2 linked regions of the Medicago truncatula genome follow. The protein of the gene in region 1 interacts with the protein of each later gene in a pairwise test. Links are inferred from orthologs where the notes say so. Each region holds a gene or a part of one and is shown on either strand. Other genes may lie near its edges.

Region 1 (6,965 bases):
CAACATCCTACAAACATCGACTGTGGTATCACTCATTATGATATTTTGAGCATGAAAAAGGACGTCCGAAAATAATAATGGTCATTTTGAAAATGATCGATGTTATAGTTCCACATGTGATTTTGTTAAGAAAATGGGGAGAGTCTTTTTTTTTTTTAGAGAAGAAAATGGGGAGAGTCTGGAACCAAAAGAATAGTTCCTTATGTGGAAGAACTTGAGCTAATTAAAGTATCACATTAAATATTTTCATGTAATCGATGTCGGACTTTTAACATTAAGAGTCGGTGTTTATGATGGCTTTCCGTCAACCGACATTGATTGGATGATAACTCTTTTATTTATGGAGACTTCACATAGATATCAATATTTGGTTGAACACTTTAATCAAAGTTTAGATGTTGCTCTGTCATTGGTATACCTCAATGAAATCATCAATTGTTATGACCTTATCTAGGTGTGCGAGGAGAACACAAACCAAAAAGCGAACATTAAACAAAAGAGTCGCATGACTTAAATATCACATCGAACATTTTTATGTACTAGATGTGAGATTTCTAATAATTTCGGAGATGATTTTTCTCAACGTTTTTGCAGTGTTCTTTTTACCCCTCCATGAACTAATTCTCTTTGATGAATGTTGCATAAAATGATAGAAATGACAATTTTTTCCTCATGTTCTATATATTGTAGATAATTTTATTAAATGGGAGCTTGTCTCTAAGTCGTAATTTGTTTTGATGTGACGGTCTAACCCCTTCTTCTGTAGTCTTAATCCTCGTTGATCTATATAAAATATTTTACTCATTCCGTTTCATTTTTAAGTGCCATATTTGAAAGAAAATTGTGTTTGTGTTGTTGCTTTGTCATTGGTCTACCTCTCAATGAAATCAATTGTTATGACCTAGGCGTGCGAGGAGAACACAAACCAAAAATCGAACATTAAATGAAAGAGTCACATGACTTAAATATCACATCGAACATTTATATGTACTAGATGTGAGATTTCTAATAACTTTAAGTTGATTTTTCTCAACTTTTTGCACTGTTTTTTTTTTACCTCTCCATGAACTAATTCTCTTTGATGAATTCTGCATAAAATGATAGAAATGACAATTTTTTCCTCATGTTCCATGTTGTAGATAATTTTATTAAGGGAAATGTTAACGAGTATCCCCTTACACTCTTTAAGCACCTTTAAATGGAAAGTTTTTAATGAAAAGTTGTGTATTGAATGCATTGGAAATTGTAATAGTTGACTTTTTAAAAGAATTATTGTTAAATTTGGGATGCTTAAAGAGTGTCTCGGGGGCACTCGTTAACAAGACCCTTTTATTAAATGTGAGCTTGTCTCTAACTCATAATTTGTTTTGATATGACGGTCTAACCCCTTCTTCTACTCTTAATCCTCGTTGATCTATATAAAATATTTTACTCATTCCGATTCTTTTTTTAGTGCCATATTTGAAAGAAAATTTTGTTTGTGTTGTTGCTCTTTCATTGGTCTACCTCTCAATGAAGTCATCGATTGTTATGACCTAGGCGTGCGAGGAGAACACAAACCAAAAATCGAACATTAAATCAAAGAGTCGCATGACTTAAATATCACATCGAACACTTTTATATACTAGATGTGAGATTTCTAATAACTTAAGAGTTGATTTTTCTCAACTTTTTGCACTGTTTTTTTACCCCTCCATGAACTAATTCTCTTTGATCAATGTTGCATAAAATAATAGATATGACATTTTTTTCTCATGTTCCATATTGTAGATAATTTTAGGCTAAATTGCATTTTTGATCCCTTAATTATTTTGCTAGTATCGCTTTGACCCCTTAATTAAAATTTGATTTATTTTGGTATCTTAACTTTCTATCGTTACAAATTTTGGTCATTTACGTTAGTTTTAATTCAAAAACGTTAGGGTCATCTTCTTCTCCTCTTCTTCATCTTCATATCATCTCCATCAACCTTTCAACAACAAAAATCCAAGAAAAATTACATAAGAAAACCTAACGTTTTTGAATTAAAACTAACATAAAGGATCAAAATGTGTAACGATAGAAAATTAAGATACCAAAATACATCAAATTTTAATTAAGGGACCAAAGCGATACTAGCAAAATAGTTATGGGACCAAAAATTCAATTTAGCCATAATTTTATTAATTGCGACCTTATCTCTAAGTCATAATTTGTTTTGATGTGACGGTCTAACCCCTTCTTCTAGTCTTAATCCTCGTTGATCTATATAAAATATTTTACTCCTTTCGTTTCTTTTTTAAGTGTCATATTTGAAAGAAAATTTTGTTTTTTTTTAACTGTCATTTTTAAAGTTCAATACAATATTAATAATTAACTTATCAATAATACCCTTACTATTTTTCTTAAACTTGGTATCTGATTCAAGGATTGATTGATCTGAAGAGTTCAAACTGATCGCCACTTGTTAGGGAAATACCCTTACAATTTATTACAAAGAGAAAATTAGATGGAATAAAATATAAATGATTAATGATAATATAGGTAAAATATAAATGATAATATCAAAATTAACCATACTTATTAAATATCTTTGGTACGTGTAAAAAATTACAAAATCACACTTAAAAGATAAGAGTGAATGGATGGAGTTCTAATTAGTAATTATTTTTCTTGGAGGAAAAAGATAATCACGGGGATAACCATTTTTTTTTTATAGACAACATACCAAAAAAAAGGAAGACATAGCAATTTTTTTTTATTTTGACAAAACATACCAAATTTTCTTTTATCATTGTTTAATTTCGGAATTCATGGGATGTCGAAAATCAAACCATTTCAATAGAAAACCGCAATAAAAAAAAGTGCAAAACTTCTGTTTAGTTTAGTGGTATTTAGGTCAATTTTTCATTCAACAATGCGATTCAGTTCAGTTTACGATTTTTATACTGCAACCTGAATTAAGTCAAACTACATGTTCACTTAACTTAGAGTATTAAATTAGTAACTCAACCCAAACACCCTTCACTTAAATATATCTAGTCTTGAATAATTAATGTATCTAGTCTTTGTTATGGACATGATACATTAATTATTCAATGTATCTGAAAAATTAAATTTTGTTTATAATAGCAACCGGAGGGAGTATACAATGCAATGACCTGTGTTAGTACCTTTATCAATTAGGATACTTGGAATCACATAAAAGAATATTCATTTTCTTTATAAATAACTAGCGAAAAGACGGACATTCAATGTATCTGTCTTTCCGCTCTTTTTATTGCGATAACGTTTCAAAATTATAAACAGTGTTTTTTTTTATGAAATTTTGATTTTGATTAAAACTAAAAATATAGATGTTTGTTGCTTTCAAGTTATAACAAACCAAATTAACCATGATTATCTATTTTTATGACACCAACAATATAACAAAAAAAAAAATCCAAATTCTTTTTTTAATGACATCAACAACAATCTTTATTATAGAAAATATTGTTTTAAAGTATAATTGGTATAATGAAAAAAGTAAGTATAAATATACTCATTTAGTTTGTTACACTTTTTAGATGATAAAGGAAGAAGAAAAAACAGACATATAAATATTCATATCGTAATTCTTTTCTTTTAGGAATTTAAGGAAAAAATACAAAGTCAATTTTCTGGTACCGAAATAATAGGGTTATTTTTAAGTTAGTTAAGCTAATTTTTCTTTTTAAACTTAAAGTGAAATTGATATCAAGTTGCTTGATTTCAATAGCAAGGATAATGAGCTACTTCTAAGGACGTATTTAAGGAGACTAAAAAGAATTTGGAATTAAAAGTAAAGAAATGAAAGTGTGGAAGTTGTTACGGTAACAGAAGATGTTTGGTCTGTTTTGCCCCTGTCCCCTTAAAATGAATATAATATTAGTATTATGATGAAAAAGGTAAAATTATTTTATGAGTATGTATATTATACACACTCCAAAGCACACTTTTTGTTGCTTTGTGCTTAATGGAATGGAAGGCCCTTGAGTAGAATAGACTTCACTCTCTCTCTTCTGCTCTTTAGGTTTCACTCTTCTTCACTCTGCCAATTCTTCAAACAACAAGGAATAATCTCTCTCTCTCTCTTCTTCTTCTTCTTCTTCATTCTCTCTTCTGCCTTCTACACCAACCTTCCATTTTCACAGGTATGTTACTTCTATGCTTCATTTTTTATTTTATTTTATTCTTATTTTTTTTTTCGACAATAATTGTTCTTGTGTTGTTGTTTTTAGCTATTTTGCTTTCGGGTTTGTTTATGTTTGTGTCTTTTATGTTATTGTTTCTTAGTTTTTTCATTCACATTCCTTAGCAAAAGTTTTGTTTTTTTTTGTTTTTCTTTTTATTTGAAGGAAATAATTTGGAAAAAAGGTGGGTGTGGATCTATTTTTATAAATTTACTTTTTTTCCTCTTGCAAGTTGATTTTTTGTTTAATTTATTGCTTAATATGGGGCTATTAAATTTTACTTAGATTATGTTGGGGTTTCCTTATTGCAAAATAAAAATCCCAAATTTTTCATGGTATTTTCATTTTTTCACATTTTACTTTTTTTATTTTTTGGTACAACGCATTTTTTCATGTTAATTACGATTTTAAAAAATGAAGGGTATTTTCCATTTCTAAGCGTTCGAATATTATTTCATGAGCTTTATTATAATATTTTTGTTGAAAAAAGACTTATTTATATATTTTGATCAGTGTGAAAGTTAGGGGGTAAAAATGTTATTTTGATCCGTGTGAGAGGGTGAGAAGAACTAATCTTGGAGATAAAATCATTCATAGATGATAAATGATAGGTTCCTATAAAAACCAAACTTGACCATTAATTAATAAATCAAAAATGTCTGCTCTCACTTCTAAAGTTATTAGTTAGATGAAAAACCAATGGAGCACTGATGCACACCGGACACTAACACGTCGACACTGATAGTAATTTGAAAAAATGATACGATTGAATGTAATTACATGTCCGACAGGGACATTGACGCCTTCGATCAAAAGTGTCGATGCTACAGAGGTTGATACATACATAATAATATATACTATATCCAAAAGCAGAGATTTAAAACGTGGTTGTCTTTGCAATCCTTGATATTGTGGAAAATCACGGCTAAATGCGGCTGATGTAGCATCAATCGCAGTTGCACAGATATTAAATATCTTGATGTCACAGCCGAGATTGTAATTGCAACCCTTTTTCTAAACATTGTCTAAGAGTGTTCACATGCAATTGGATGCCCTCTTATTAATCTTGATTTAGTCTTTGCACTATGAAGAATTGGGTCAAACACCGGACACAACACTAACACTAACATGCGACATCATTTTACTAATTTGACAAAATGGAATAACTGAAGGTAACGAGGTGTGTCGTTGTCAGACGCCAAAAACACTTTTAATTTGAAGTGTTAGTGCTACATAGTCTGTGCTAGCCTACTTTTATTATTTCATTCATAGTTAGATGAAATGGTTACCATGTTCGTCCTATATGAAGTGTAAAAATTCGGTCTGTTTAATCTTTCTGCCAATGTATTGCGTGAATTGTGCTTTTATAACTTTCTTTTATGACAGTTTGCATATTTGGAATCTGATGTCTCCGCCACTGCTGCTTCCTGAAGAGGAAGGGCAGAGCAACCCCTCAACGGTAGCATCTGCATCTCCACAATCCTTGGACCGTTTTTCTCAAACTGCAGCTGGGTTGAAGGAACGCAATTACCTCGGATTGTCTGATTGCTCATCGGTTGACAGTTCTACTGTCCCAAGCTTGTCTGATGAGAAAAAAGAGAACCTAAATTTGAAAGCGACGGAGTTAAGGCTCGGACTTCCTGGATCTCAGTCGCCTGAAAGGGATCTTGATCTTTTTCCGTTGAACTCAACAAAACTTGACGAGAAACCACTTTTCCCTTTGCTTCCCACTAAAGATGGAATCTGCTCGTTGTCCCAAAAGACCGTTGTTTCAGGCAACAAAAGAGGTTTCGCCGACACACTGGAAGTGTTTCCTGAGGTGAAAAATTAAACTTTTTCCTTTTACTAGAGTTAATATATTTTTGGTGTGTTGCAAATGATTTTAGTGTCTGGGATGTTAACCTAGATGGGATTGTTGAAACTATAGGGATGCTTTTGCACATCAATTTTGAATAACAAAAGGTCAAATGGATGTTCATACTGCTTTTGAGTCTGATTCTTAACAATATGTGATGCAGGCAAAATATACTGCTAATACTCGCGTAAACATACTGCTTTCGCCGAGACCTTCTGGAGCTCAGCCTACTACAATTAAAGAAATGCCAAAGAAGGTGGTACAAGAGAGCCCTTGTACAGCGAATGGAACTGGAGCTCCCATCAGTGGCAGTGCACCGGCTGCTAAGTAAGTAGAACATGCTACATCAAGGATCCACTATTTTCTGGACAATCTAGTTGGACAAATATATTAAGAATAAACCTTCAGTTTATTCCTTTAAGTATCATTCTCTCTTCTACTTAGTCTGTAAAATATATAGAAATAATCGGTAATTCTTGCTATTATATATTGACAAGAGCTACTAGGGATTAAAGAGACGAATTTCATATAGTTTAGGGACTAACTTGACAGATGTCAGATGGTTTAAGGACTATTTATTATTTTGATTTAGTTTAGGGACTAAATAGAAGAGAGTGATTCTTCAATGACTAAAGCAATGGTTTACTCAATACCTTAGAAGGGATTTTTTGATGTCTTTGTAATAATGCTAATTACTTTCTATGTACGACAGAGCACAAGTTGTTGGTTGGCCTCCTATTAGATCATTTAGGAAAAACTCACTGGCCACCACTTCAAAGAACAATGACGAAGTGGATGGAAAGCCTGGTGCAGCTGCACTATTTGTGAAGGTTAGCATGGATGGCGCTCCTTATCTTAGGAAGGTAGATCTAAGAAACTATACAACATACCAGGAACTGTCGTCTGACCTTGAGAAGATG
Region 2 (6,670 bases), on another chromosome or scaffold:
AGGGGAAACAAACATACGTATGAAAATTATGATATGAAGATCAAAACGGATTTAATTTTTTTTAATGAAAATTCTTGCACATGCTTTCATCGCTGTAACGTATATTGTTGGCATATGATTTTAACTCACATGGCAATTAAATATATATAATACGCAAATACAGACTTGCTTATTTTTCTTGTTTAAACGTACCTGTATTTTTATTATATTAAAAATGTATTCGGTTAAAATTGTTATAAAACAAACTCACAAAACCGTGCCTTCTACTGTGTTATTGAAGTTAAAAAACAAAATTAATCATATTTACTTTTTTTACAAAAATATTTATTAGAAAATAGTTTTAGAATGATTTTACTAGACAACTTTCAAAAACTAAGGAGTTAAAACAGAATCAAACAAGCTCGAAGAGATCATTTTCAATTTCAGTCCGTAGTTCAAGAAATATTCATTTTGTTATCTATTGCCAATATGTATAGCAAAAAAAAAAAGAATCATTAAAAATGCAAATTAAAATGAAAAGATTAAAAAACAAAAATATCTCCACACACACCTAAGCCCAAAATTCAAAACTTTCAAGTTTCAAGATATTAGCATTAGCAAATAACGGAACTATACGCTAACCAATCAACACTTTCTTTACATGCACAGATGCACTAATAACCACATGTTCAAATCTCAAATTTTTGAGCCTAGGTTTGGATCCATGTCAGGTGCTTCTAATGATTAATAAAAAACTAAAGAAACCCACAGATAGTGTTTGGACTAGTAATTCCATTTAGTGCACAAATTCCTAAGATTTCTCTTTGACTGCATTGTCAATTTCTTCAATGTGATCACGAAGCACAATCCACTGCACACAGAAGAGAGAGAGACAGACAGACAGACAGACAATTAATCAATGAATAATGGGTTCAAATCTTATAAGTTGTAAGTTGTAAGTATACAACATCAATAGTTTCAAGAAGTACCTGTTCCATGTTCAATGAGATACCTGAAAACAAGTGAACAAATGTCATTGTAAATTCTTTACATAAATTCAACGGCCACCACCAAGCAAGATAACTTATGTTTTCAACAATAAGACAGCAATCAAGGTTTGGTAGGAAAGGGAAAGGGAAGCAAGCACGCCTAAAATTTCCAACACAAATGCAGTTCACAAAGCCAACATACTCCAAGCTTATCTTAAAAATCTATACCATCATTAGGATTTTGAATTTCATCTATATGATGCAACAAAAGTTGTGTTAACCAAAATTTCCATAAAATTGAATTGGAGACAATTTTCAAAACTGATAAACAAAATCAGGTCCAGTGTCCATTCACTTGATTAAACCAACTACAGTATTTTCAACTTCCTAAAACTACTTCCAAACTTTCCCAATTTAAATGTTTGCAAATAAATGCTTACAAAAAACACGCACACTTACAATCAGTAGGAGTCCTATATTTTTCTCACAAAATGCTAGAATTTAAAACGATTTAAGCCTAATAAAATCTCATTATGAAACACACACAATTAACATAACGAGCTCCAACATAAGTTGGCCACCACTTTCAATCAAAACTCAAAAGAATCAAAGAATATTGTTGATAATTAAGTTCACAAGTTATCTATCCAATACAACTTAACACCATTTCATAATCACCGATTCAGTTCACTGGCAACACAAATCAGATCAGCACACACAGTACAAGTCAACAAGGATCAAATAATATTGCTGATAATTAAGTTCACGAGTCATCTATCCAATACAACTTAACACAATTGCCAATTGAGTTCACTGGCAAGACAAATCAGATCAGCGTACACAGTACAAATGGATAGAGCACCTAGAACATCATGCATCACTAAGACCTATGTTGTTAATCTCAAATAGTGGCGAGTAGCACAACCCCAAAAAATGGTATCGCAGATAGTAGAATTGCCGCTACTCTTGAAGGTCACGCTGCACTGCTATAGTGCATGATTGACAACATCGAATACTACAACTTATGGAAGTAAAAACTGCAGTTATCATCAACTTGAACATCCTATGATCCTATTCAACATTTCAAGAATCTCTTCAAATAACAAACTAGGCAACCACGATATAAAGATACCATTCTATTTCAAAACCCAATCAATAAGCAAATAAGCCATTAAAAGATTTCATAAACAACGAAACGGAACCATGTTCACAGATTCATGAGAAAATGAATCCGATACCTTTTTTGCCAGGCAACTGCTTGCCATCTTTGGTGTAAAATTCGCGAATGTCAACCCAAGGCTGTTTGTTCCAGGTCCTGACGGAAACCCTCCTGTTCTTCCCAATCTGTGTGAAACGAAATCAATCAATAAAAATAGTAAAAATTACAAAACCCTAAATTTCAATAACAACAACAAGAAAACCCTAGTAATGGAGTTGGGGGTTTTTGAGGAACCTACCTCAAAGACGATGTCACCAGAGTCATCTTCAGTGTCTTTCTTGGCGGTCTTTTTGGGAGGCGCGTGAGATTCAGTATCGTCCTCGGAAGCGTGGTCGAGTTCTTCCCTCTTCTTCCCCTTTCCAGTTCCAGACATTTTCTCCAAAACTGTGAGCGTTGATTTCACTCGCGGTGTGAGGTAACTGTAACGTGATTTGAGAGAGTTAGTGGAATTGAATACACGGAAGCAGAAATTGGAAGAGCGAAAAGCGAAAAATCAAAACCTAGAAACCTTTTTGGCGCCCAAACGGTTGTGCAATGGAAGAGCCAGTGAGTGAGTCGAATCATGTTCAACTCTCTTTTTAAAGAGAGAAAACAACCCTTATGTTCTTTGTGTCAAAAAAAAAAAAAAAAAACTTATGCTCCTTAAAAAAATAAAAACTTAAATGTTAAAAATAAAATAAAAAAATCTTATAGAGTTGTTTATTTATAGAGTAATCCACTAAATTAGTATATGTCTTTGTAAATCATTTTTAATTTAATGATCGACTCTATTAATATCTTAAACTACTCAATTAAGTTTCTGCCTTTATGTTTTTGTCACATGACGAAGGATCTAATTGAATTTTTTTTTTATAAAGATAGACTATTTTGAAATATTAATATATTCGAAAACTAGTTCGATAATGACTTATAAAGACATAACTAATTTGATGGTTTAATCTTATTTATATTTTAGAGTGCTCTCAGTCATTAATAATCGCTAGATCATAATGTAAGTTAAAATTTTTACATTGTTTTCTTAAACTCGGTATCTGATCCAAAAACCGATTATATTTTATTAACTCGTTTAAAAGGAAATGATAGAGCACAAGATAAGAAACCAAAATAGAACTAAAATCTTAAATTACAACATATTCTTAAATATTTTTTTATTACAAGGAGGGCCAAAGGCATGCATATTCTTAATTTTGAAAGCTTTATATTTTATCTTTTTTACTTGTGCATTTAATGCTTAATTTCTTTGTAAGCTTCATAACCTGTGTCCTAAGCACACAGGTTGATATGACCCTTGTTTAAAAGGGAAGGTTGAACATTTTAAAAATGAGGTGAGATTTTGGAAATAATTTTGAGTTAAGCTGCATATTCTCACTTTTTTTTTTTAAATAATTTTGAGTTAAGATTTCATTTAGGATATGTTTGGTTGAGAAGAGAAGTTGTGAAGAGAGAAATAGGTAAGAGAGAGTATGAGAAGAGAGAAAGAGGTGAGAAATAGAGTAGATTTGAGGGATTGTTTGATAGAAGAGAAAGATAAAAGAAATAGAGAAGAGAGAAGTTTTGATTGAATCAAAAAGTACAAAAATACCCTTGAGATAAAAAATCTCATAAAAATAATTTAATTAATTCAATCACTTGATATAATTTTAAGTAGTTTAAATAACTAGATTAATTTAACTACCTATTATAATATTACTTTTTTTTAAGAACCTATTATAATATTACTTATTAATTAAAAGTTTAAATAGTTTAGTTATTTTAATTATTAATTAATTTGACGAATTTAATGTTTTGATAGAAAAAATGAACTCACACCTTAAAAATAATAAGAACGGAACTTGTCAAAAATAAAAAATAAGAAAGCAACTCTCACACTCCTTAAGAAAAGTAAAAACTCACGTAAAAAAAAAAAGGAGTGCAGTGAAACAATGAATGAGGCAAGGGCAAATATGGAAATCTGAAAAAGTAGCCCTTTCTCAGCTCTATCTTCGCTCATGAGCAGAGAAATAAAAAATATGTGGGTCCCACATGTTTCAATTCTCTCCCATTTCTCTTCTATTTCTCTCGCCTCAACTTCTCTCTCCCTTAATTCTTCTCTACCAAACACACTGTTAGTGTGTGTTTGGAAAATGAAAAAACAATTAGTTAGAGCTAACAAAAGTTTTTTTATTTGTAATTCTACCAAGAAAAAAAAAAAAGTTTGAGGAATCGTATCATGAGTTGATTATACAATTTTGGGTTTTTTAGGATGAGGGTATTTGTGCAAAGTGACAGGAAACAACTCTCTCGTCATTCCAGCGAAGAAACCAAAAAGCAGTGGGGCTCATAGGTTTTCTTTCTCCTGTGTGTTTCACTGCTACAGTAATCAATAGAAACATCCCTTATTTGTCCCTCACATATTTCTCTATTTCCTAAATCATCTGTTCCAAACAGACCGAAACTTTAAGGTTGTTTGTCAGCTGTGTTGGAAACGACCAAAACCTCAATTCTCTCATCTTTTGAATTTGATCATCCTCATCGAATTTACAAATCGAAATCGATGGGGAATATATTCGTGAAGAAACCTAAGGTAACCGACGTAGATCGTGCAATTCTAGCACTCAAGACCCAGAGACGCAAACTTGCTCAGTATCAACAAAAGGTTACCTTTTTCAATACCCTCAATTTCATATCTCTTATTCCATTCTCATTGTGCACGTCAAATTTTCTGGTAATTACTTATTAGGGCTAAAAGATCAAAAAGTAATTGAACTCAAGTATAGTTAGTTTAGATTTAGTTAAGTTAGTTATTGTTAACTTCTTCTCATTTTCATATGGACTTATATGTATAAATAGGACCACTGTATTGATTACTTTTGTTCAATCGATAAAGTCATCAATAATATTTGTTCATTAGTTTTACATACTTTTCAAGTTATATCAAGAAATTGTAATAAATATCGGCTATAGCATAGAGGAAATTTAGCAAATCTCTATTGTCCTACGGTATGCAATTTAGTAACAAAATGTTGTCAAACCAGCCGCTGCTGCACCGCTATAGCACTGTAGCTTAGAGGAATTTGAACAAAAACTATATTTTGTGTGATCCAAGATTAATAACACTGAGTTAAAATTAGACCGTCTTTGATTGTATCTGGTGTATGGAAAATGAATTAGCTGAACGTTGGTGATGATTGCACTTTTTTGGTTATTAACTGGGATGATATAGCGTTTTGGATTTTGGATAGAACATAAGCACTGAAGTATCAAAGATGATACATTGCCTTACTTGAGTTTTTCCCTTTCCGTGTTCTTTATTTTCCAGCTTGATGCTGTTATTGAAGCAGAAAAGCAAGCTGCACGAGACTTGATTCGTGAAAAGAAGAAAGACAGGGCATTGTTGGCGTTAAAGAAGAAAAAGACACAAGAAGAATTGTTGAAGCAAGTTGACACATGGCTTATAAATGTTGAGCAACAAGTAATATTTTTATATTGATTTTATTATTCTGTCATTTATTTATAAAAGTCTACTTATTTGTTTTGGTTTGGACCAATAATAATGACTCATTCTCTACCTGTTAGTATCTTTCTACGGCTTTACATTTGTTCTTGTCTGTTGAGCCATTGAGTATTTTCCTTTCCGATAATCTCTGCCTGTTAGCATCTTTCTATGGCTTTACAATTGTCTTTGTCTATTGAGCCATTGGGTATTTTCCCTTTTCGATGTCTTGTTCAGAAGAGATAATTGAGCGACAACACTGCCCTCTTTTAACATGAATATAAATTTCTACGCCTAAAAGAGATACTTACATTTACTTTGTTGGTTCAGTTAGCAGATATTGAACTGACAAGCAAGCAGAAGGCTGTCTTTGAAAGTTTAAAGGCTGGTAGTAAAGCAATTGAGGCCATACAAAGTGAGATAAACATTGAAGATGTTCAGAAACTTATGGATGACACCGCTGAAGCAAAAGCTTATCAAGATGTGAGCTTGATTTCACGCTTATCCTTACGCTTGCTGCTTCTGAAAACCGATTTCCACATCTAGATTCATTGAACTTGAGTGTATCTTTTTGGGGGACGGGGTTAGGCATTGAAGTTGTACTGGGTTGATTAATATTTTTGTTCTGTTGGGCTGTTAATATATTTGGCTGCTACTTTTTCTTTGTCAATTCTCATCTACTTGCCGATAGTTTACATGGTTTTGCTGAATTTGAAGGAAATTAATGCAATACTTGGGGAGCAATTATCAGCAGAAGATGAAGAGGAGATTTTAGCAGAGTTTGAGAACTTGGAAACCCAGGTACACAGATTTTTCGGTTTTTGTGATTTTGTATTGACTTATAATCCATTCATATTGTTCCCGTTGTACTGCTGGTTTTAATCATAGTATATGGAAAGGACATACACACATGCACGCACGCACACACATACACACACCTTGTTCTCAGACTAATTAATGGAGGTTCTTTATTTGTGGGTTTAATTTGTTTTGATTTTGTTATTCACCGAA

Evidence for each region.
Region 2: the proteins of auxin-responsive protein IAA9 (region 1) and RNA polymerase II transcriptional coactivator KIWI interact in binary tests that used the Arabidopsis thaliana proteins (3 or more experiments, as listed by UniProt). The link is inferred for Medicago truncatula from reciprocal best matches to the Arabidopsis thaliana genes IAA9 and KIWI.

The regions. Positions count from the first base shown.
Region 1 is NC_053049.1:30,676,925-30,683,889, reverse strand, and holds the start of auxin-responsive protein IAA9, read left to right. Parts: upstream 1-3,951; 5' UTR 3,952-4,151; intron 4,152-5,576; 5' UTR 5,577-5,595; coding exon 5,596-6,009; intron 6,010-6,208; coding exon 6,209-6,372; intron 6,373-6,757; coding exon 6,758-6,965. UniProt on the Arabidopsis thaliana protein: Aux/IAA proteins are short-lived transcriptional factors that function as repressors of early auxin response genes at low auxin concentrations.
Region 2 is NC_053044.1:47,690,213-47,696,882, reverse strand, and holds RNA polymerase II transcriptional coactivator KIWI, read right to left. Parts: upstream 2,822-6,670; 5' UTR 2,752-2,821; coding exon 2,696-2,751; exon of another isoform or gene 2,688-2,695; intron 2,607-2,687; coding exon 2,426-2,606; intron 2,313-2,425; coding exon 2,207-2,312; intron 992-2,206; coding exon 969-991; intron 851-968; coding exon 791-850; 3' UTR 502-790; downstream 1-501. Other genes in the region: vacuolar protein sorting-associated protein 20 homolog 2, read left to right, coding at 4,721-4,822, 5,486-5,638, 5,990-6,142, 6,377-6,460. UniProt on the Arabidopsis thaliana protein: General coactivator that functions cooperatively with TAFs and mediates functional interactions between upstream activators and the general transcriptional machinery. Binds single-stranded DNA.